2 linked regions of the Lytechinus pictus genome follow. Each later gene encodes a partner of the first gene's protein in a complex. Links are inferred from orthologs where the notes say so. Each region holds a gene or a part of one and is shown on either strand. Other genes may lie near its edges. The genes, in order: inhibitor of growth protein 3-like and vacuolar protein sorting-associated protein 72 homolog.

Evidence for each region.
Region 2: inhibitor of growth protein 3-like (region 1) and vacuolar protein sorting-associated protein 72 homolog share a complex: the UniProt entries of both Homo sapiens proteins name them as parts of the nuA4 histone acetyltransferase complex. The link is inferred for Lytechinus pictus from reciprocal best matches to the Homo sapiens genes ING3 and VPS72.

Annotation. Positions count from the first base shown.
Region 1 is NC_087247.1:64,844,381-64,857,562, reverse strand, and holds the start of inhibitor of growth protein 3-like, read right to left. Parts: upstream 6,514-13,182; 5' UTR 6,446-6,513; coding exon 6,418-6,445; intron 1-6,417. UniProt on the Homo sapiens protein: Component of the NuA4 histone acetyltransferase (HAT) complex which is involved in transcriptional activation of select genes principally by acetylation of nucleosomal histones H4 and H2A.
Region 2 is NC_087247.1:35,239,992-35,252,759, forward strand, and holds the start of vacuolar protein sorting-associated protein 72 homolog, read left to right. Parts: upstream 1-7,026; 5' UTR 7,027-7,108; coding exon 7,109-7,131; intron 7,132-8,284; coding exon 8,285-8,429; intron 8,430-9,245; coding exon 9,246-9,398; intron 9,399-9,940; coding exon 9,941-10,067; intron 10,068-12,463; coding exon 12,464-12,658; intron 12,659-12,768. Other genes in the region: lysophosphatidic acid phosphatase type 6-like, read right to left, coding at 870-1,000, 1,820-1,951, 5,619-5,900. UniProt on the Homo sapiens protein: Deposition-and-exchange histone chaperone specific for H2AZ1, specifically chaperones H2AZ1 and deposits it into nucleosomes.

The sequences.
Region 1 (13,182 bases):
AAATTCTCACTTCTGTTATGCTTAAAAAAGATCAGGTTTTGAAAGATCGTCTGTATCACACTCACTGAAATACATTGTTTGACAGTCCCACATATATGCATTTGTGTGTACATGTATGTTGATAAACGTGGTTTCTTTCGTAATTTTTTTTTTTGCCAAGGAAATTGATAAATTTTCTTCTTTATTTATGACTGGATAGTTTGAGCTTTCTTCCTCTCTGTTTTCTTTCTTTCTGCCAATCTTTCCTTCTTTTGAATCTCTCTTTATTTCTTTAAATTTCCTTCCTTCCTTCTTTCGTTCAGTTTTTCTGTTATAGCTGTCTTTCTTTCTGTCTTTTTTTCTTTCTTCCTTCCATCCAACCTGTTTACCTCTTTCTTTAATCCTTCCTTCTTTTTCCCCTTCCTTTCATTCTTTCTGTCTTCCTTCCGTCCATCCATTCTTTACCTTTTCTTCCTTTCTTTTTTTTTCTTCCTTACTTTCTTCATCCCTTTCATTCTTTCTTTATTTCTTTCCTTCATTCCTTCCTTCCTTTCTTTTTGTCTTTCGTTCTTTCTTTCTCCTTCCTTTCTGTATGATTTTCTTTATTTTAGTCTTTCGTTCTTTTGATCTTTTTTTTTTCCATCCATCCTTTCTTTTCTTCCTTATTTTTTCTTTCTGCCTTCCTTCATTCCTTCCTTCATTTCTTTCTGTCTTTCATTCTATCTTTCTTTTCTTTCTTTCTTTTTTGTCCTTCCTTCCATCTATCCTTTTACCTTTTCTTTCTTCCTTCTTTCCTTTCTCTCATTTTCTTTCTTTCCCTTTCTTTTCCTTCCATCCACCCTTTACATTTTCTTTTTCTCTTTTCTTTTACCTTTTTCTTTCTTTATTTGTTCCTTTCTTTCCTTCTTTCTTTTCTTTCTCTTCCCCTCAGTTTTTTCTCTATTTTTTCTTTCTTCCTTTTTTCTTTCCTTCCTTCTTTCGTTTCTTTTTTCCATCTTTCTCTTCCCCGCAGCCATTCTCTCTGTCTCTCTTTCTTTCTTTTTTTTCTTTCTTTATTTCTTCCTCCTTTCTGTCTTTCTTATTTTTTTTCTTTCATTCTCTCCCCCTCTCTTAATTTCTTTTTTTTTTCTGGTTATTTTCAGTGATTTCCCCTTTTTTTAATATTGTGTGTCCTAGTCCCCTCCAAAATATTTGGAAAATATATAAGATTAGGAAATTGACCATATATTTTGTCATGATGTACAAGATAAAAATCATTTAAAAAAAGAAATACAGCTACGAGGTACATCAGTAGTCATGTTGAAAAAGCGTAACGGACATGACACCCTTAGGAAGTGAACTTCATCAGCACTTCTTAGTTTCAAAATGAAAGAAATATGAATAATGAATGTAATTATGTAACAGCAAAATACTTTTACTAACATTCTTAAGAAAAACATGTAGATATTATTGGCAGGTATTATCAATTTAATAGCTATAGCCTACATGTATGATAATTTAATAAAGCCGTCAATGGTATGGTATGTAAATCCGTAAGCCTATAACTTGTTTTGAAGCAATAAAACTTTGTTTTGAAGGATTTTTTCAGGCAAGTGAAATCTATATTCGGGCAAGTATTTTCCAACTATTTGAAAACTTACTTGCCCGACTGGGCAAGTGCTTCAAAAAAGTTATGTAGCACCCTGCTATGGTACAAGTCTAATTGTTTACATGTTAAGGAGCTAGAGGTTAGAGACACACATCATAACTGGTAATCTGTAATATCTCCTATTATTTTGCAATTTGAGAGAGGGGCTTTCATACAATATTTATAAAACAAAAAAATATTTAGAAAAATTTCTTTTACACCAGTTAACAACAGTTAATGAGTATTTTCCAGTTACTACCATCCGCCACACCTAATTAAAAGAGAAAAAGTTGATAGTAAAGATTATTTTTTATTCATGGCTTACTATTTGACAATATACACTAGCGTAACAGACATGACACCCTTAGGAAGTGAACTTCATCAGCACTTCTTAGTTTCAAAATGAAAGAAATATGAATAATGAATGTAATTATGTAACAGCAAAATACTTTGACTAACATTCTTAAGAAAAACATGTAGATATTATTGGCAGGTATTATTAATTTAATAGCTATAGCCTACATGATAATTTCATATAGAATACAATGCTTATAGTTAATCTACTTATAGTACCGTTACGACACACTGAAAAGACCAAATCTTATTTTTTGTGAGAACAAAATGTACCAGACCTGTATAAATCCAAGATGAACATATTATGAAATGTATTTTATGATGAAGAATATGTACTTGTATTAATGTCAGTTTTAAGATTAAAAAAAATGATATTAAAAAGTATTTCAAAATATAATAGCAGTACCTGGAAACCAGTCTTTCATTATCGAGTATGAGTTGAAAGGTAATCGGAATGTTTGTAAATCGCTTCTGAGATTTTTTTCGTTCAAAATAAATATCATCCTGAGTATAATCATCCTTTTATCAAATCTTGAATGTTCTAAATCTTACGATCTTGCTTGCTGACAAATGTAGCTGTATCTAATTTTGTTGCATTGTCCGCGCTGCTTGTGTACAAATGAAGATACATCATTAAAATCGTGATTATGGCTGACCAAAATACTATGACATAAATTTATTTTATTGATCTCGCCACATTCCTTCCACAGCCCCTTTGCTTTGTGATATTGCAAAGATGTGCCACTGTAGATACATGGATTCACAGAGCTACATCATGTAACACAGATATCTGAATACAAAGTTGTTTTTAAATGTGAGCCCGTGCCATCACTGAAGAAGTTGAGGTTGGTGAAAGTCAGATACTTTGAAGCAATATCATCAATGATCTCATGAATTCACAAGTTGGGATTTTATCATGCTCCAAATTGTCAGTGCAAATACCTAAGATAATCAATTGTATTGTTCAAACACAAATGATACAGATTGTGATCTGAGTATGTTGCCAGATCTAGCTTCATCTTATCCTAATATTATGTGGCATACCGTTAATTCTCAGAAAAATATACCAAAACAAGAGCTAAACTTTCATCATTAACTAACTTCTAAAAATAGCTTGAATGACATGCAGATTCTAGGAGTTATTACATCCAGCTATCCTCAAGCAATTGAGACTGACCTCAGTCTGTGACACTGAGCCTAATATTTTGTTTTCATGAATGCTGCCTTTTGTCATATATAAGGAAGGGAAAAAAAGAAAGAACTAAAGAAGGAAAGGAAGGAAGGAGTAAAGAAGGAACAAAAATAAGAAAGAAAGAAAAGAAAAAAGAAATGAAGGAAAGAAATGAAGCAAGCAATACAGAAAGAAAGAACAAATCCAGAAAGTAGTAAAGGAAAGAAAGAAGCAATAAAAAGGAAAGGGTAAAAGGAGAGATGGAAAGAAGGACAAAAGAAAGAAAGAGAGGAAGGAAGGATTGAAAGACGGAAGAAAGGAATTAAGGAAGAAATAAAGGAAAGGTAAAATGATAGACAGAAGGAAAGAAATAAAGGAAGGGAAGGAAAGAAGCAAGCAATATAAAAAAAGAAAAGATGAAAGGGAGAAAAAAGAAGGACTGAGAGACAAAGAAAGGAAGGAATGAAAGAATAAAGGAGAGAAAGGAAGCCAGCAGTAGAAAAAAAAAGGAAGGTAAAAGGATAGATTTAACAAAGGGAAAAAGGAAAGAACAAGACAGATAGACGAAAGGAAGGAATTAATTTAAGAGAGAGAGGGCTTAAAGAAGGAAGAAATAAAAAAAAAAAAAAAGAAAGGGTAAAAAAATGATGGATGGATGGAAGGAAGAAAGAAAGAAACAAAGAAAGTAACAAAGAATGAAGGAAAGAAAAGGGTAAAAAGAAGGAAGGAAAGAAAGGAAGAAGAGAAGAGATGAATATAGGATGGATGGACTCATGTGGCATCCGGTTCAGGACACTCACACGTATTGCGAGGTTAGTATGCTATACAATTATAACGATGTACTTTGAATTGTAATAATTACTGAGACAATAATATTAATGATATATCAATAATAATCATCATAATAATAATACTTATAATTAAAATAAATATAATTGTAGAAACAATTATAATTATAGTAATTATAATTATAGGCCTTATAATTAATGAGACAATAATAACTATTATTACAATAATACTAATTATTATAAAATAATTATAATGATAACAATTATAATGAAAGTAATTATAATTGTAATAATTACTGAGACAGTAATATTGAAAGGTCATCAATAATTATTATTATAAAAATTATTATGATTATAAAAATAATCATAATTATAATTAAAGGCCTTATAATTATTGAGACAAATAACTATTATTACAATAATAATAATTATAGAATAATTATAATGATAACAATTATAATGAAAATAATTGTACTTGTAATAATTACTGAGACAGTAATATTGATAAGTCATCAATAATTATTATTATAAAAATTATTATAATTATAATTATAATCATAAAAATAATCATAATTATAATTATAGGCCTTATAATTATTGAGACAATAATAATTATTATTTCAATAATAATTATTATTATGAAATAATTATAACAATAATTACTATGATAGTAATTATAATTGTAATAATTATTCAGAAAATAATATTAATGAAACAAAAATAATTATCATAATAATAATTATCATAATTATAATACTTATTGGGACAATAATGAAACGATGATGAGACAATAATAATATCAACAATTTTATTGAGACCATAATAACAAGACAATGAGATAATAGACAATTGAAATCAATCTCTTTTTATTTTTTTCTAGAAATCCTAAGATTATTATTTTAATTCTCTTTCTTTGATTACAAATTATATTCATTGAAAACTTAATTTCTAATGTTCAAGGCAAGCAAAGAAAATCAATATCAAGTCATGTTTACCCTGTGCACAAACCTACCACAGGGCAATTACCCCCGAAATAGGGTTAGGTTAGGTGTAGATTTTTGGATAGGGGTACAGTGTAGTTGTCCGGAGGGGGGGGGGTAATTGTCCAGGGTGGGTGGGGGTGGGGGGAGGGGAATTGTCCGAGGGTGGGGGGTGGGGGGTTATCGTCCAGGGGTAGTTGCCCTTGAACCAAAGAAATCATATGCCAATATGTCAAATCAATCTGAGTACTTTAAGATTTAAATAAAAAGCTTGTACAATTCCCCATAAGCTATGTATTATAAATGTGCCATGCCCAAAACAAAGAGAATAATAAGATTTCGCAATCTTCTTTTGTCCACAAAAAGGCCTGTTTTTTCATCACAAAGATGACAATAACTCGACTTCTAGATATCGGAATTTGAAAATTCAAACAGTTTTGTGAATCGTAGATATTGAGCCTCATTGTGAGCCCATCAAATATGCTGGAACAGCCTTTCCTAATTTTCACCTGAAGTGCCTAGAATTAGCGGTAACTGCGGTCTAAGGTACGATATTTCTTAATTTTATACATTTTTTCGTAAATATGGATGTGATTTCTTTTTCATAATGTGACATTTTATGTACAAAAAAGCGATCGGAAAATCGGGTTTCCGCCGAATGTTAGATCTAACGTTACTGCTAATATTAATAAGTTGTCTGTACGTACGGGCCTCCAACTAGTCCAAGCTTTTCAGTCTATGTAACTATTGGTGAGTGAGCCAACGCAGTTCTGTGGAACAACCAAAATACAGAGACTGAAGCTTTTGGTCTAGCCCCATACTAATTACTACTATACTAGGCCTACTAGACCAAAAGCTTCAGTCTCTGTATTTTGGTTGTTCCGCCAAATACAATTTACAAACCACAATCCACATAATATACATACTAAACTTTCACCACATACCACATTATAAGTTAACTGAAAATCCCTCTATTAATTGGTTCCAATCAACATTTGTCTAGGGTGGACTTGACCTTTACAGCATGCAAAATATTGTGACCGGAAATACTCTGCCATTAATTGTACATTCTCTCAATGGAAAGCTGTGGGCATACGTTCAAAGGATTGACCGAATACGAGCACCCCTTTCTATCCCATAACAGTAGATACGGTAGGATGGGGGGTCGGGTGTCCGGACACTTTATATTTTTGAAGCCTTCTTTTTGTCTTTGGATTACACTAAAAATATGAATTCAATAGTTGTAATCATCTTCTATTTTGTTCTCTATAATATTTCCTAACATTTTGTACTAAAAATTGATGAAACTTCGCTTGTAAATTTTTCCAAATGACTTTCTAAAATTGATCGTCCGGACACACAACAACTGGGTACCGGTACCGCACCGTACGCACACATTTAAAATTCCCGCAAAATGATCTTTCCCATTTATTACCGATATTATAAGCTGTACGTTACTTTTTGTACATCGAAACTTATAGTTAAAGTTAGAAGTGTGAATTATAACAATTTACTCACTCTCAAGGTAATCTTCCAAATACAACATCTTCGAATATTTTCCAGGGAATCACCGAGCGATTGGACTTCGGAGAATACTCAACTTATTACTGTAATATTGGAACGGCAGATGGCGTTTTTGACCATGTTGACGGCCGGTAGGTAGTTGTTATATTCAGTATAAACACTGGGATCAGTGAGGTAATTTAGTTGTTTTCTTAGGAGGGAGTGATAAATTTTGTGAAAATAACTTTGAATCTTTAATTTTAGTTTTCAAATCACAGGAGGGATGGGAGAGGCCTCAAAATAGGTCTATTCATAATTTGCATTTGTTTTTAGGACATGAAGAAAAGTCTTTCTTCTTTGGGTTTCATAGTAGGGACAGTCTATGGGAATGTGTTTGAGTATGTTTGCAGAAGTGTATGTGTTATGTTTGTTGGGGTGAAGGGGAATGATATGTTGGGTGTTATGTTTTCCAGTTCTGGTGTCTGTCTGTATTTATCTCATCTCCAGTTTAGTTTAATAGGTTATTTTGTCATTTTAAATAAATCAAGCTACCAATTTGCAGTAATATTATCATTCATATTTTTGTTCCAAATTTTTTGTCAGAGGTTTAGACTTTTTGTGTTAATTGATGTCGGGTAACTTAAAATTACTTTCGGTCAATGTCAGAGGGTTGAGAGATAGAATCAAAAGGAATAAAATATTTCAGTGGTGTCAGATGATGGGGGATATAATATTTTTGCAGGAAACTTTCAGCACAAAAGACACTGAAGGTGGATGGAAGGCTGATTGGAAGGGGGAAATGTTTTTCAGTCATGGAAGTAACCACAGTAGGGGAGTTATCATAATGTTTAAATCAAAGGTTGATTTTCTCAAAGAAAAAATTATCATTGATAAAGAAGGACGATATGTTATAATTAAAGGAAAGTGTCAAGGTGAAAAGATTATATTGGGCAGTGTATACTTTCCCACATAAAGAAAACTCACAATGTAATTTTCTGTCTGATTTAGACAAAGTTTTATCTTCTGTAGTTGGTCAAGAATATTCTCTTATTGTTGGAGGAGATTTTAATATTGCTATGAATCGAAACTTAGACTACATGGGTGGAAGTAATATTTCGAAGAATAGATATAAAGATTCATTGGTGGATTTTCTTGATAGGCTAAATCTAATTGATGTGTGGCGGAAGCGGCATCCTAACAAAGAAAGAATTTACCTTCAAACAAAATAATCCCTTCGTTCAGAGCAGATTGGATTATATTTTTATCTCCTCGAAATTAGAAAAAGACGTGAAAAGTTCAAACATTTTACCCTCAATCACTCCTGACCATGCTAGTTCAGGTCGAGTTTGATAATTTAGTCGAAAGTTTTGCATATGGGAGATCGTACTGGAAGTTTAACAGCAGTTTATGCTCTGATAAAGATTTTGTAGACGGAGTAAAGATGAAGATTTCTGAAATAGAAAGAATATGGCGGGACCAAATAACAAGCAAGATTAAATTTTGGGAATTTATGAAAATGAAGTTAAGAGAATATATAATGGCATTTTCCCGTGAAAGAGCAAAACTCAGAAAAATTCACATTGAAAAATTACAAAAAGAAATTAAAGATTTAGAATATCGCTTGACGATCACTTTTCATATTGATATCCAAAACGAAATTGAATTTAAAAAAGAGGAACTAGATAAACTTTTCGACTATTCTCGTCAAGGTCTAAAGGTCCGTTCAAGAGCCCAATGGTTTGAGGAAGGACTAAGAAATTCACAGTTCTTTGAACAATTACTTGAATCCAATAAAAGGAGAATTAGTGCGATTAAGAAGATTTATAATAAAAATGAGGAAACGGTGCGAGATTGCAAAGGTATTATACAAATCATTCGGGAGTTTTATAAAAATTTATATGCATGTAAAAATCTTGAAACTAATGATGATATTGAAAACATGTTTTTTAGTGATTTACCCAAATTGAGTAAAGAAAATAGAGAGTTTTGTGAATATCCGATAACACATGAAGAATGTTTTCAGGCTTTAAAGGAAATGAAATGGAATAAATCGCCTGGCAATGATGGTTTTACCGCAGAGTTTTACTTTACATTTTGGCCACTTTTAGGGAAAATCATAGTTGAAGCTTTCAATGAGAGTTTTGAAGTTAAAATGTTGTCAAATTCGCAGAGACAGGGGGTAATTACTCTAATTGAAAAAGAAGGCAAAAATCCTTTGCACATGAAAAACTATAATATAGGCCGATAACTCTTTTGAATGTAGATTATAAAATTTTGTCAAAAGTGTTAGCGACAAGGGTGAAAGAGGTCTTGGGAGATATTATTCATTGTGATCAAGTGGGTTATGTCAAAGATCGTAATATTGGGGAAGCAGTTCGGTTAATTGATGATATGTTTTTTCAGTCTTTGTATCAACCCTTAGGTTTTTTAATTGCAGTGGATTTTGAAAAGGCGTTCGATTGTATCTCTCATAAACTTTTATTCAAAACTTTAGAACATTTCGGGTTTGGGAAAAATCTGTGTTCTTGGGTCAAAACTCTTTATTATAATGTTAGTAGTTGCGTGTTGAACGGGGGGCATTCTACGGGATATTTTGAAGTTAATAGAGGAGTAAGGCAGGGGGATCCACTCTCTCCATATTTATTTATCATAGCGATTGAATTATTAGCTCATTACACTGGCGTAAATCCGTGTTGATGGGTGGGGGGGATGACTGAAATATTTTGGCATTTTTTTTGCAATCATGTTTTTAGATATGCAAGGAATTGCCATTGATATGTCCACAGTGGCGTACCGTGGGTCACGGCATGGGGGGGGGGGCACCAGCAAAAAAATTGAATCACTGAGTGAGTGCGCTAGTGAGCGCGCTCAGTTGCCAGTTATACTGACCTAATAGAGACATTTTTAAGGACAATGTCATTAAACTGATATGTATCTCACTGATCAAATAATGCGAGCGCGAAGCGCGAGCTGAAATTTTTTTATATTCACACCTAAAAAGGGACATTATAATCAAATTTGTGTAAACATGATAGGTACCTGTCTCGCTAAACAATGCGAGCGCGAAGCGCGAGCTGAAAATTTAGATAATTCAGACCTGAAGTGGGGCATTCTAAGGTTTTTTTGTAAGAATTAACTAGGACCATACGTATTCCATTAACCAAATGATGCGAGCGCAAAGCGCGAGCTGAAAATGTTTGATATTCAGATTAGAAGGGACATTTTAAGGACTGATTTTAGGAATTTATGAAAAGCAGACATATCTCACCAATCCACTAATGCGAACGTAATCACGGACAGGAAATGTTTCATATAAACGAAGACCTTAACATTGGGCAATCACTTTTTGAGTCGTGAAAAAGAAGCATATGTCACTACATAAAACAATGATAACTCAAGTGCTAGGAAATATATTTGGTTTATATTGACTTGAAAACGGGATGTTTTAGTACAACAGGATTATATATCACGTTAAACAGACAATGCGAGCACCAGGAACAATGAAGACGTAGGCCCTGGGCAAATTATGTTTCATAAAGTTATGATAAATATGTTTCTTATGTAATGTAACATAACATAATTATAATATAATATAACATTATAATGAATAATATTTTCTTCTTTCCCACTACGTTTCTCTTCCTTTCTCCCTCTTTTTCCTTTTCCCCTTTCCCCGTTTTTTTTTGGGGTCAGCCGATGGGGGGGGGGGGGATGTGCCCCCCATGCCCCCCGTAGTTACGCCACTGTATGTCCATATGGCAAATACCCCTCCAATATTATTATCTTTTTTACCCCATGATGGTTTAATGGTTTTATTAGAGGTTACATTTAAAAAAAATTGACATTCCATCTTAATCCCTTCCCAAAGACCCCAACATTGATGAATTGGAAGAAACGGGGGTTTCTCTTCAATGTTATAATAAGGACATAAGTATTTCGTTTGGAAATGGTGAACTGGCTCTTTATTTGCATTTTATGATTCAATAATATTGTTTTATTTGTTAAGCGGTATTTTAGGAAGAATTTTCACCAATAAAACAATTATCTCTTGTGATTTTTTTTTTATTTATTTCGCAAAAAGTGGGGGGGGGGATGTTTGTACAGGCCATCCCCCCCCCTCCTCGAAAAGTGGGGGGGATATATCCCCCCCATCCCCCCCGGGATTTACGCCAGTGGCTCATTATATTAGGAGAGATGTTAATATTAAAGGGATAGGATTTGGGAAACGGGAAATAAAACAAGTTCTGTATGCAGACGACATTACATTGTTTTTAAAAGATATGAACTCGATCCATAGAGTAAAGAAAATATTCTCAGATTTTGAAAATTTAAGTGGATTGAAGATTAATATGGATAAAACAAACTTTTTATGGTTGGGAGAAGAAAGAGATAGACCTGGTTTACCACTTCTTGGACATTGGTTACAACATATTAAAATCTTAGGGGTATATTTCGCACGGGATTGTAAAGTCAAAGATGACTTGAACTATAAGGAAATCTTGAGTAAAATTAAAAGACTTATTGGTTGGTGGAAGCAGAGAGATCTTACGATGTATGGTAAAATAAAACTTTTGAAAATGTATGCATTTTCAAAATTAAATTATGTTTCTTCCCTGATGACAGTCCCAAAAGACGTTTTTAAGGAAATAGAAAGAATTTCTTTTAATTTTATTTGGGGAGGAAGAGATAGAATAAAACGCAAGGTTTAGTTCTATATCAAGACTATTCTGTTGGAGGACTGAGAGCTCCAAATTTTTTTGAGGTCTTTGTTAAGACCCAACGAATAATGTGGATTAAACGTTTGCTAGATGGAGGGAAAAGTTCGGGTTGGAAAGCAACCTTCGAATATTTTTTTAGCTCTTTAGGTGGTCGAATCATATTTCTGTGTGATTATGATACGAGTAGAATGAATTTAAAAGGTATACCATTATTTTACATAGATATGCTGAAGGCATGGCACGAATTGGATAAGTGAAGACATTTTGGAGGGAAAAGTAATCCCATTATTTTTAATAACAAGCGTCTATGCCTTAATAATAAGACCTTTTTTGATATTGAATTATTTCAGAAAGGTATAGTTAAGGTCTCGGATATAATAGTTGGAGGTAAATTAAGACCAGTTTCATACTGGTATAATCTGAAATTTTCATCTGAAAACTTGCTCAAAATTCAAAAGATATTTTCAGTAATAACAGAAGAGTGAATACAAAATGATTTTATGGAAATGGATACAAACAACTTTGAAATTCAATTGATGATATGTGGGCATGTTCAGAAACTATGTGATATAAAATCTAGACGAATATATGACCACTTCATTGAAAATTTTCAAATTGATTATGTATTTCATGTTACAGATGGGCAATCCGAATATGATTTGGGAATGGGGGAACTGAAAGAAGTATTTTTGAGACTGAAATGTGCAATGCTATGCAATAAACACAGAGAATTTCAATACAAACAATTACAAGGGGCTGTGTACACAAAAAGGGAACTTTCTAAATTCGGTTTTGAGACAGATAATTTCTGTTCCTTTTGTAAAAAAGAAGTTGAGTCTTACCAACATTTATTTTTTTATTGTCCTGAAGTTAAGCGATTATGGGAAGAGATGAGTAAAATATTTCAACTGAATGAACTTGGCAGTGACGTTTGGAAAACAATTTTCATGGGGATATCTGGAAATACTACAAGAGTAGCTTTAATAAACTGTATTATATTCTTAATTAAGTATATCATTTTTAGTTCAAGAAAACAGGGAATATTGCCAACCGTACAGAAAGTGACACATTTGGTTAAAGAGTATAGAGACACGGAATATAAAATAGCGTTTAAAAAGGGGAAGCTGGGGGTGCACTTAAGGAAATGGGAACAAATCAATGCATACCTTTCTTAATACTATGGATGTATTGGTTGCTTCATTTTGTTTCTGTTTTGTTTATTTGTTCAAATACAGATAGTTGTACCAGAGCAGGATGCATTGTGTGTGGGTGTACGTGTGTAGATGGATGTGTGAGTTTTGTGATGGGGAAGAGGGGGGGGGGGGGGGAGAGCTGTGAGTAGTGGTGAGTTGAAGTGAGCTTGTGTGAGTGTCTGGGGAGAGAGATGAGGGGGGAGGGGGTATGGGGGTAAGGTGAGTGTGTAGGGACGTTTTAGGATAACCTTCCTCTAATTAACCTTTAAAATAATATTTTATCCTTTTTTTATTTCTTGTACAATTAATATGTGCAAGAGATTATTTCTATTCTATTCAGGGAAAAGGTCATTTTTTACAAAGTACGTTTTTTTGTTTTTTTTTTGTCGATTGATATGGGTTTTTCCCCTCTGCTTTCACATTGTTAAAGAAGAGAAATTTGGCAGTTTAATTTCATTTGTAATCATTTTAAAAATATTCGTAATCTCATTGATATTGATATATTTATTTGTTTGATTGTTTATTGATTGTATACATACAAAGAATCTTTATTTATATGAATTGTGATTGTAAACTTATTGATTTGAAAGAGGAAGAAAATAAAATATTATTCAAAACAAAAAAAAAGTAGTTGACTTGATCGGCCCAGGCCTGTCATGTCAAGCAGCTAGAGGCGTCGATCCGGGGGGGGGGGGGGGCAAGGGGGCGATCGTCCCATCAAAGAAAATATTGGGGTGGCAAGCATATCACCCCCCCCCCCCACACACACACACACACAATTTCGTAACTGCAACGCAGCTTTTGTTAAGGTAGCCCTACGTTTACGCAGGAATCTCATCATTTTACCGTAGTCCTATAGGCATATATAT
Region 2 (12,768 bases), about 30 Mb from region 1:
TTTAAATATGATAAAAAATATTTAAAATATAATCATTTTTTAATATGAATATTCATCATAGTGCAATGAACTGAATGACCTCTGACCTTGAACTAATAACCGGTCATTCTAGTTGTGCGATTGGCCATACTTGATAACCATTACGTCTGTATTCTAGGACTTCCCTAAGATCTCGGCTGCTCATGATAATAAATTGGATGGTAGAAAATTATGTAATCTATGGGGTTGCATAGCTAAATTTCACTATTCATGCAGCATGAAAGTCAAATTTGGCTGTCAATCAATGATTGATACAACTGAACTGCTAATTTTTGTTTAGAGACTAATTGGGCAATTCTCATAAAGTGTGTTTAAATTTTGTGTATTTCATTGGTTTTATTTGATATTTTGTATTTATTTTATTTCATTTTTAACTCTTTGTTCTTATCTGTTTCTTCCATGGAAATTGTTCGATATACTATTCTGATTATAGACAACATGAAATTAATTGATTTCAATCAGTAATTTAAGTAAATATAGGCCTAATGATCGATTTTAGAATTTTGGCTAGAAACAGAATTTGCATTAGATAGTTATGTGAAATCATGCTTGCTGCGTTTCAGAGTCTGACATTAACTTACAAAATGTTGTTTGACATTGAAACTTCGAACACAGGCATCAGAAATCAGTTCCATATGTTGCATAAGACTTAAAATAAAAAAAAGTAATGACACATTTCAGTGCAAGCTTTTCATGTTACAGTTTTATCTTGCAAAAGGTTGAGGCGAACCACAATGCACCCCCTGGGTTACTACAATCTATACTTGATAAACAGGCACTTCATTATTATATTTGACCATCATGAAACTTTGGTTCTACTAAACACTTACTATACCAGTTGTGGATTGAATTCCTTGGGTAGGAATCCAAGTTTCTCCATGTAATGTCTTCTCAATTCCTTTCCAAGATCATTGGCTTGTTTCATACCTTTGGCTGTAAGTTGACCTTTAAAAGATCCACCCTGAGTATTACAGACACAAGGAAAATATGTTTACATGTAAACTTGTTTGTTTGCTGGTTTCAGTGAAATGCAGTGCAGTTTGTCCTATCATCAATATTGTTTGAAAAATAATGTAACACTGTAATCTAAACATATCATTTGGCAAATGCATAACAGTTGGCAAATAAAAAAATGACAAAACACAAATCTATGAAATGCTGTTTCCAGTTTAATATAAAGAAATTCAAAATTTCAAAAATCAACAAGAATTTTAATAAAAATACTATGAATAGTTCTGGTTTGCTGGAACTGAATTTTCCTATCTACATTAAAACTTTCATATACTGATTTCAAATCTGTAATCAACCAACCAGCGCTATGGAAATAAGATTACACAGTGGGATCATTTCTGCATGCTTGAATCTATTTGCCTGTAGTGCTATAAAAGTACATTAAAAAATATGGTTGCACATATGTACATGTACACAGAATTAAACAATTGTATTTAAGCCCCCCCCCCCAAAAAAAAAAAAAATCCTGCACAGTAATCTCATTTTTAGAGTCCAACCTGGTTGATTGAAATCCAATATCATGAAATTCTTATTAAATTTTGTTCTAATGAAGCTGGTTAACTGTGACACTTTGATTTAAATTTATTTATTCTATTGGTCTGCCTACATGTATGTGCAAAAGATTGCATCTCCTGCACACTGGTGACTGGCTTGAATAAAGCACAGGAAGCCTGTATTGCATTTGTATGTTATTTGAAACTTGAAATTTTGTTACCACATGATTTATGAAATTCATCCAAACATGTGAATATACTTGTAACAAACATACCTTTAGTGGAGCCTTTCTGTAGTACTGCTCAATTTTCCATTCAGGCTGTGGTCTTCCATCTAAAGCCCTAACTTTGTAATCAATGCATAGATCAGCTTCTCCTTGGAATAAAGTATCTTTATCCCAAACGCTCTGTAATAGTGACAAAAAAAGAAATGTTTGATTAATAATCTTGCATTCTTCAAGTTCATTTGAAATGACACAGCGTAATTCACTTCATTTTCCACTATTTCCAAATCAATCTGCGAAGGTTAAAAAAAATGATTTTAGTTCACGAACCTCTTGAAATATAACAAGTACACTGTTGACCAGTGAACAGATTAATTTTTGTACACATACTGTAAGCTCAATACAGTGATTGTCAGGTGTCTGATCAATGATTTAAGTAGTCCAATGTAGCATTTGTTTTCTTTCAACATCCTTTATGCAAGCCTACTTGTAAATAGTGCTGCTCTCTTGTTGTTGCATTTTATTTTGCATTTAAGAATTCATAACATTACTTCTCTGTTCATCAGAGATATTGTATTTCAAATCAAATTAAATTAGAAAAGGCATAACAAAATCACCTTTAAGTGTGTTCACTGTGCAATCTCATTTATGATAAAAAAACACTATATATATCTTGATGGTGAGTATGATGATGAGCAAAGTGATAGTGATGAGTTTACTTAGTGATGACAGCACTATGACTGGCCTAGATATATAAGACAAGAAAGGAATATGATTTCTGATGAACTATATTATAATACAATTATAATAAAACAAGTGGAACGCCTCTGGCAGTCTCGCCTGCATTACGCGATTTTAGCAGCAGTGCTAACTTTGAAAACTACTATAAAATAATCATTCACAAAAACATCATTCATATAATGACATAATACCGTTCATTGACCATAAATGACATTTGAACGGTGACTTAAGACTTGTCAACTACACCCATGTCCACATTTCATTCACTCTATCTATAAACTTTCAAAGTTATGATGGCAATTCAACAATTACCCCAATTGACCTTAACTGACCTTGGTTTTGTGACCTGAAACTCACAGGGGATGTTCAGTGATACTTGATTACTCTTATATTCCAAGTTTTATGAACTAGATCCATAAGCTTTCAGAGTTAGGATGGTAATTCAACAAATACCCCCAACACGGCCAAAGTTCATTGACCTTTGACCATGGTCATGTGACCTGAAACTCGTACAGGATGTTCAGTGATACTTGATTACTCTTATGTCCAAGTTTTATGAACTAGATCCGTAAACTTTCAGAGTTAGGATGGTAATTTAACAAATACCCCCAACACGGCCAAAGTTCATTGACCTTAAATGACCATTGACCTTGGTCATGTGACCTGAAACTCGCACAGGATATTCAGTGGTACTTGATTAACCTAATGTCCAAGTTGCATGAACTAGATCCATAAATTTTCAAAGTTATGATGGTAATTCAACAAATACCCCCAACTTGGCCAAAGTTCATTGACCCTAAATGACCTTTGACATTGGTCATGTGACCTGAAACTCAGACAGGATGTTCACTAATACTTGATTAACCTTATCTCCAAGTTGCATGAACTAGATCCGTAAACTTTCAGAGTTAGGATGGTAATTTAACAAATACCCCCAACACGGCCAAAGTTCATTGACCTTAAATGACCATTGACCATGGTCATGTGACCTGAAACTCGCACATGATATTCAGTGGTACTTGATTAACCTAATGTCCAAGTTGCATGAACTAGATCCATAAATTTTCAAAGTTATGATAGTAATTCAACAAATACCCCCAACTTGACCAAAGTTCATTGACCCTAAATTACCTTTGACCTTGGTCACGTGACCTGAAACTCGAGCAGGATGTTCACTGACACTTGATTAACCTTATGCCCAAGTTTCATGAACTAGGTCCATATACTTTTTAAGTTATGATGTCATTTCAAAAACTTAACCTTCGGTTAAGATTTTGAAAATAATTCTCCCAACATGGTCAAAGTTCATTGACCCTAAATGACCTTTGACCTTAATCATGTGACCTGAAACTCAGGCAGGATGTTTAGTAATACTTGATTAACCTTTTGTTCAAGTTTCATGAACTAGGTCCATATACTTTCTAAGTTATGATGTCATTTCAAAAACTTAACCTTAGGTTAAGATTTGATGTTGACGCCGCCGTCGGAAAAGCGGCGCCTATAGTCTCGCTCTGCTATGCAGGCGAGACAAAAATAAATTGGTTTGACCCCATCCATCAAAGTAGCAACCACATCTACCATAAACCTAATTGATATTTTTTTTTGCTGGTATACAAACAAAGATGACTTCTGCTCACTATAATCATGCATCTACTAGATATACTGTAATCAAAGTCACCAACACCTTTGCTACATATAGTTTTAGGGATGTCAGTATATGGGAATATATACTAGTATAGTAGTAATAAAGACTTGCTTTGCAAATTGATCAAAGAAAGAAATAATATTGAAAACAAGGCATTATTTTTTTCAAACCAAGGATTTATCAAGGTCAGAACCCAAGTTGTTTTGTCTGTGGATGTCTGGATGAAAAAAAAAAGAAACTACAGTAGAAGGCTACAATTAACAAATATATCAGGCTTTGAAAAAGTATAGTGGAATTTATCTGAGGTTGGTCTGGCAATTACTATTTTTCCCGAGGGGCGAAACCCCGAGAGAAATATATTAGTTTTGCCAGTCCAACCGAGGACTAATAATTCCCACTATGCTTTCAAATGAAATGCCTGATATATTTTGTTTTATATCCTACTTTTAATAATTTATAACCAAAATCTATGCGCTGAGCTTGCAAAGTCTGGTTACTTGCGTTGAATTACCTACTTTTCTCCGAGCCACCGCGCTCAGCGAAACGCAGATTAGTGCCTGCGCCAACGCATCAAGGGACTTGCCCGGCCCGGGAGAGAGAGCTCGCTGGCCGGTGCGCCCGAGAGTTTAGCTAAATATCCAGTTTTCTGAAATAATGACGTCAGAATATTGGTATAGCGAAAAATATATCGAGGTCTGACGTCACAAACATTATAGTTGAAATATATTTGGTCACATGATGCTATTTGAACCAATCACTATACAGGATTCAATCTATGTAGGATTTATCAAATTTGCTTATAATTCATATCCCTATTTTGAAAAATCATATGTGGCAGATCGCCTCTCATACAGTTGGATTGGACTCATGGGAGAATCTCTCCCAAATTAACCTAAGACGGCTGTAGAAATCACATAACATTGATAACAACATAAACGATGATCACATCATTTCACATGAGAGTTTCTTTCATAGATCTTCCTTTCATTCTTTCTTTCCTACTTTCTTCCATCGTCCTTTCTTCCCCACTCCCAGCTCATTCAGCCTTCATTTATTTCATTTTCTCTGTCCTTTCCTTTCTTTCTCCTTTCATCTCTTCCCATTAAAGAATCTTTTCTATCTTCCATTCTTTTTCTTTCTTCCTTCCTTTCATAATACTTCTTTCTTTCTTTGGTTTAAATTGTCTTTTCTCTCTTTTTTTCCTTCCTTCCTTTTGATTCTTTCTTTCTTGATTCCTTCTTTTCTTGCTATTATCTTTCTTCTTTTTTATTGTTCTTTTTCTGTGTTTATTTCTTACTTTTCCCCCTTCCTTCCTCTCCCCCCCCCCCCCCCCCCCCCCCCGCAACAAGAGCAAGTGCAAATTGTTGGCTGGTCACTTCACTTGCACTTGAATTCTGAAATGTGAAGAGTGAAAATAAAATGTAAGAAGCTGTGACTGTGAGATGGCCAATTTAAACACCCTACCTGCTCAGACTTTGGGATACATCCAGATCCTAGTGGCGTTCTAGCACCATGTCTAAACAAAATCTGCACAAACTTAAGCTCCAAATCATCACGTGTAACCAGCGGAATAGAGGCATCCTTGCAAGCCGAAGCTCTGGGGGTCTCTCCAGCTCCATTTCCGCTTGATGCTGAGACTGAGAAGGGCGAAAGAGACATCATAAATGGTATTACAGTCCCGACACTGCCCATCGTAGCTCCTAATATGGCAGCTCCGAGGTGTGGGGTTTTGTTGAAAAATGGCATTTCTTTATCTTTATTGATTATTAGTTTGTTTGAAGAAAAAATTTAACACAAATCCCAGGACCCAGTCAACTTGCACTTGCGTGATGAATGCACTAGTGTTATTTTTCGTAGTACGGGCCGGGGACGGATACGCATACGGATAAGGTACCGTATATACCGGTATACGGTAACCGGTACTTATCGGTATATAATGGGTGATTTCAAGTTTGGTGTTCGGTGTTGGTGTTGGTGTTGAGAGCATAAAAAGGCCGCTGAACCGAGCTCCAACACCGAGCTGGGTTCAGAGGAATGATACCGATTGCGTTATCGATAGCACATGACGTCACGCCTCTGCGCTGCGCTGCTAAATCATCTCAACTTCACGCGAGAAGTCTCGACGACGAAAATGAAATCTGAGAGAAATGCATTAAATGCTCATCGTTCAGAATACAAATGTTTTAATTAATTCAAGAATTCAAAAGAGTGAACATTATTCTTCATCAAAATATATACAGCTCAAATGATTTGTACTTAGCTAAACTGTAAAAGCTAATTTTACGGGGATGTTTCATCGTGTTCGCCGCCTGTTCAAGAGCTTGAGATTGCCAACACCAACACCAACACCGAACTTGAAATCATGATTTTCCCAATCCCTGGGGGTTGGTGTTGGTGAATGGGGAAATTGCACGTAGATCGTCAACACCAGCCGCAGTGCTGGGTTCAGCAGACGACATTCAACACCAGCATTCAACACGAACTGCCGGAAATAAGTCATATTTTCCGAGGTCAATCCCAACACCATCCTGATTTCAAGTACGGTGTTGTGGCTAGTGTTGGTGTTGTCACAACACCAACACCAGATTTCAACACCGTACTTGAAATCACCCAATGACGCAATTATCCTGCAGGAAAAAAATCTTTGCACAAGTCGGCGTTTAGTTTCTTCATTTTTTCACTCTTCTGGTAATATTTTCATAAGTTTTTAGTGAATCAAAATGCATATGACATTCTTTTACAATTATTCAAACTGAAGTATTACTTAGAGAGTGTGCGAAATAGAATTTATAGCACACCTAACGTTTGAAAGTTGCAGCCGGGCTAGGGACGTAGCAGGTCGTAGGCTAGGCCGCCGCGGTCCACGTACGCGGTTCGGCGGGAAGTTTCTCCCCAGCCTGGTCCGGCCATTCCGCGCCGCGCCTGTTTGTCGAGCCTCAGCGGTTCAAGTTTGGATGAATTTTTTGGTGTTGAGAAAGTGAGAAAAGCAACTGAACCAAGCTACATTGACATTCTAATCGTTGCCTTATCGTGAAATTCTGTTTTCGATCTTGTGTGTGTGTTGCCTGTTGGTATGATTATGAATACAGTGAAGTGAATAGGGTGACAGGCGCAGGCATAATTTGCAATTTGCGCACTTTTCAACTTCAAGAACTAACTTTAGATCAAGTCAATCTTGACGTTCATATGCCATAATAATCAATATAATGATTGTGGGCATTAACGGAAAGACAAGAAGACAAGATCTAACGTTAGCTTGCCTTTAGAAAAGAATAAGGCAGACAAGTCAAAGGTAAAATAATTGTATCAGATGGAGGTTGAAATGCCATGGGATTTGTTTTTATCCCAATTAACTATAGGGACATGTGCGTGTAAAAATGGCGTTTGCTTGAAAGTTGATGCTTGTCTAGACAACTGGCAGCCGTCTGTTTCGAAGAGTTTTTTTAAACATTTTATTTTTTTTATATATTTCTCCTCGTACACAGACGGCTCGCTATCGTGCAGCCACCATTAGGGGGTTAAAAATGCAAAATCCCCCTGACGGGGCTCATCGATTTTTGTCTTTATTTCATAAAAATATATAAAAAGAACTGTACCAAAATAAAGATTATCATTCCGTTTTGGCCTGAAATGCACCGAAACGGGGAAAAATAAACTTAAAAGGGGAAAAAACAGTGACTTCGGCTGTCGCGCAACTTCACTTCCCTGTTTTATCCGAACTTAATACATAAACAAATGGCCATTGAGTCCCCTGTACAGATCGAGCTAGAACTTCTGTCTCTGTATTCGGTGAGTGGAGCCAACGGAGTTCAGCGGAACAACCAACATAACAGAGACCAAAGCTTTTGGTCTAATGCTTGTCTACTGTCTAGAAGTTCAGATTTTCTTGGAACAATTTGTAAAATAAAACAGGTTCAAAGATGATAACCAGCAGGGATGGATCCAGGATTTTCCAAAAGGGGGCACATTTTCCTGAGGAAAATTTTGACAAGCATAAAAAAAGGTTTTTAACTATTAACAATTAAGGGTATTTCGTCCATGAAAAAAATTGACAAGCAAAAAAAAGGGTCTTCAGTTTCAACCAGCACTGGTACTTTTCTATTTTTTTCTTCTCATTTCTTATACCACAGTCCATTAGAGAATCACACTATTATAATCATGTCACTGGTCCAGACAAGAGAAAAGCGTGCCAATGCTGGCAGCAAGATGCACAGACTCCTTGCTGAAGAACAAGAGGATGAATTCTATAAAACAACATATGGAGGTTTCCAGGAGGTGAGGATTACTTTAAGTAAACAGTATAGATGACTAATTTGAGACTATTAAAGCTTGCATTTGCAGGCTGGTAACTATGGAAATGTATGCTTTAAGCATAATCAGTCTGCAAAATAATAACTTTGTATGAGTCTGCTCTCCATAAGACAAAAAGTTGTAAGAATTTAAAGTAACTACTGATAAAATTGTATTATTTGCTTATGTGGCATAAAGAGTTTGACTTACACAGAGTCACATATGTATAGGCCTATATGCCAGTTCATGTGAAAACTAGTTATTTATTGAATAAGATCATTCTATTGCAAAGAGTGTAGACCAAATACACATTTTTTTTATAATATCTAGGTTGTGTATTAATTTGTTCAGTGATATATGCTGATATCAGGCTGAAATGTAAATCCTACATATGGATTGGAATTAAAATTACTTTTATTTTTCCACCTAAAAGGGGGAAAATCACCTCATTCTGTTAAACTGATTCCTATATAAAATAATAATTAGAAAGTCAAAAAGGGGCCTAAGTTTTCGATCCTAGTAGAATCTTCGTCGGAGGCAAAATGACAAACATATAAAGTGGAACAACCATAATATAGACCACAAACAAGCTACAGCAACACTAGAAACCTAAAAAGTTATAATTAAAAGATTCAGAACAGGATCATTATCAACTCAAGTAACTTATACAAAAACTTTAGAGTCGCAAATTTCCCCATAGTTCAAATGCAGATAGACTACTGTTTTAAACCATCTTGAGGACCCATTTCTGAATAATACCCGATTGGTGTTGATAGATTCTGTTATATGTGATTACTCCAGGAATCTGGTGATGAGGAATATTCTAGTGAGGAGAGTGAAGCGGATTCATCATCTGATAGTGATATTGATGCCCCAGAGGATGATGAACCAATCAGTGATAGTGATGATGATGGACCAAAGAGAAAACGAAGAGTGATTACTAAATCCTACAAGGTTAGACCCTCTCTTATCCCTTGTCAAAGTTATAGTTTCACCACCTTTTCTTTGTAAAACCTTACTTTTTCATTTTTATTTTCAATCATTGTACTCTGTTACCTTATAATTTTTTCAAGGTATATATAGATAGTCAAAATTGCTCTTGCGATCATCTACTGAAGAATCACACGTTCGGTGTCCCTCATGTTATTTCCCCTATGTAAACATGTATGGATAATTAGATTTTAAAAATAACAAAGGTAAGGTACAGTTTATTTAATGTATTTTTACAACACTTCTGTGCATGTCATCACTTAAATAAGAGGGAGTTGATGTCATATACTTGCTTTTCTTTTTGTATTTTATTAAATGAAATTGCAATTCAGATTTACTTCACCAAGAATGTAAAAGTATGAGATTGCTGAAATAATGCTAGGAAATTGTCAGTAGTAGAAGTAGTCAGAAGTACTGTACAATCTGCTATTGCAAATCCCTCTCTAAATGATTTCTTGTTGCAACTTCTCGAGTTTGATTTTACTATAAATATCTTCCTATTCCAGGAGCCTGCCAAGAAGCCTGTCATGAAAAAATCTCCCACAAGTCACACCCCAAGGGAAAAGAAAGCGAAAATTACCACACCGAGCAGTAAGAAGAAGAAACATTACTCCAAGGAAGATTCCAGTTCAGGTATGTGCCATTTTCAGGATAGAACAAAGTCTTTAGTCCAAATGAGATCTCTGAAACCTTAAAGCTTGAGATTAAATGTTTTGTCAACCTTGATGGGACTGGCTGAATGAACTTCCTCAGTAAGGTTTTAAAGGTCAAGTCCACCCCAGAAAAATGTAGATTTGAATAAAAAAAGAAAAAATCAAACGAGCATAACACCAAAAATTTCATCGAAATCGGACATAAAATAAGAAAGTTGTGAAATTTTAAAGTTTCGCTTATTTTTCACAAAACAGTGATATGCACAACTCAGTGACATGCAAATGAGACAGTCGATGATGTCCCTCAGTCACTATTTCTTTTGTTTTTATTGTTTGAATTATACAATATTTCATTGTTTACAGATTTGGCAATAAGGACCAACTTGATTGAACCATATAGTATTAACCCTCAAGCTCCCGGGGTATTTTGATTCTTGTCATTCCCGGGGGGGGGGGGCCATTATGGCCCCCCCTTAAGATCTCGGCCGCCGATCGCGCGAGCGACACAAAAATTTGCACGCTGGTAGTGTGTGATGTAATCTACAAGGCTGTATGGTAAAATTTTCCAAAATATTGAGATTTTATTTTATATGAATTAATTATGCTAATTTATGCATAAATCATACTTTTTGCTCTAATTCACTAAATAAAGCTCCTAGAATGCTAATTTTTGGTAAAAATATTCTTTGTAGCATTCTTAACAATCGCAATAAAAAAAAACTTCGGTTTGGAAATCAATTTCTTATGTATTTTATTGTTTTATGAATTTCTTATGTATTTCTTTGTTTTTTTACTTTTGGTTTTTTATTGTTTTTTCTATGGAAATCGTTCCAGACTTAATTCTGATCATAAACAAGGCAAAATTAATTAAGTTTAATCAGTAAAAGTAGAAATAATGATACATTTATGAATTTTGGCTAAATACACTATTTGCATTGGATTTGTACATGAAATCACGTTTATGAGCAATTTTGGGTCTGACATGCACTTATATAATGTTGCGTAATGTCGTAACCGCGTACCCGGGCGTCACAAATTTGGTCTCAAAATTTGCGCGAGACTTGAAAGTAAAAAGTCAGTGAGCGGCGAGGTAAAAAAAATTCGCGAAGCAGATATATCGCGAAAATTGTCGAGGGGGGGGCCATTATGGCCCCCCCCGGGAGAATTAGGGTTAAACAATGCTAATTCCACATGTTCAGGGAGGAATTAATGTTGTTTCACTTGATAAGAAGAAAATTAGAATATTCCATATTTTATATAATAAAATACAAAAGAAATAGTGAGTGGATGACGTCATCAGTCTCCTCATTTGCATACCTACCAGGATGTGCATATAACTATTTTGTGAAATGAAGCAAAACTTTAAAATGTCATAACTTTCTTATTTTACATCCGATTTCGATGTAATTTTCAGTGTTGTGCTTGTTGGATTTTTCTCTTTTTATTAAAATATACTTTATGTTGGGGTGGACTTGTCCTTTAACTTTCAAATCTATGAATCCTTGAGCTGGGATGTTATGTTACTAAGCTGTAGATGTATGTTGCCTCTATGCCTTATGTAACTTCTTGAAACTCTATTTGGCTGACCAAAATGATTTTCGGCTAGCTGAAAATGAAGCGTCGTGGTGTAGCAGTTCTGACTCTTGCCTTGCAATCAGAGGGTCGTGTGTTTGAATCCCACCGCGGCCTAGCGCCCTTTGGCAAGGCCTCAATCCACAATTTGCCACTCTCCACCCAGGTGTTAAGTGGATATCTGGTAGGATGCGAAAACCTATGTCATATGCCTAGCAATTGAGTCTTTGAACTCTTGTTGGAATGCTCCCCAAGGAGTGGAGAAAGTGCATACATTGTGTGCGGGCATGATAGGATCCGATGATCGGGGTAATGATATTTACAATGTAAAGTGCTTAGAAACAAAGTGTAATAAGCGCTTTATAAATGTAACAATTATTATAGTCAGTGCATTGACCTTGATGGGAATGGGGTATCTGATACCAACCCAATCTGCGCATATAGCATGCATGGCATAAAGCCTTGATGGCATGGATGGACATATATTCAAGGATCTCCATTATATTACAAGATTTCATTTAGGGCATGAGTCGGGTGTTTAATATAATTATTCAATGTTGATATAAATTGTGAACATTTTTCCAGCATTATTTTTCTAATATGTTTGAAGAAGCACGTTTTAAGTAGTCAAACTTACATCCTATTTTTTAATATGAGTCCCAAATATGTAGGATGAAATCAGTGGGCTCAATTCTTTTCAAGAACAATTATGGGAGATTGTTTTAATGAAGCCAGGAAGTATTTTGTAGTGTTAATGAGAAGTCTTCATAGAATAAAATATTGTTGAAATTCTTGTCTTCTCAGTTCGCAAGTCAAGCCGACGGTCAACCATCCAACGGGTGAATGAGTTTGAGATTCGGATCAAAGAGCGTGAGACCAAAGCACAGATCATCAAACAACAGAAGACAAAGAAGAACGTTCCAGAGATGAGACGACTCACTCAAGAGGAGCTCCTTGCCGAGGCTAAGATCACAGAGAAGAAAAATCTTCACTCTTTATGTGAGTTCTTGATTATTTTTAGACCAACTCTCTTATCAGTAATTTTTGTGTTACAACTTACAATTGATTGAAAAATAAATTTTTGGAGAGGGGGGGGGGGCAGTTTGTGG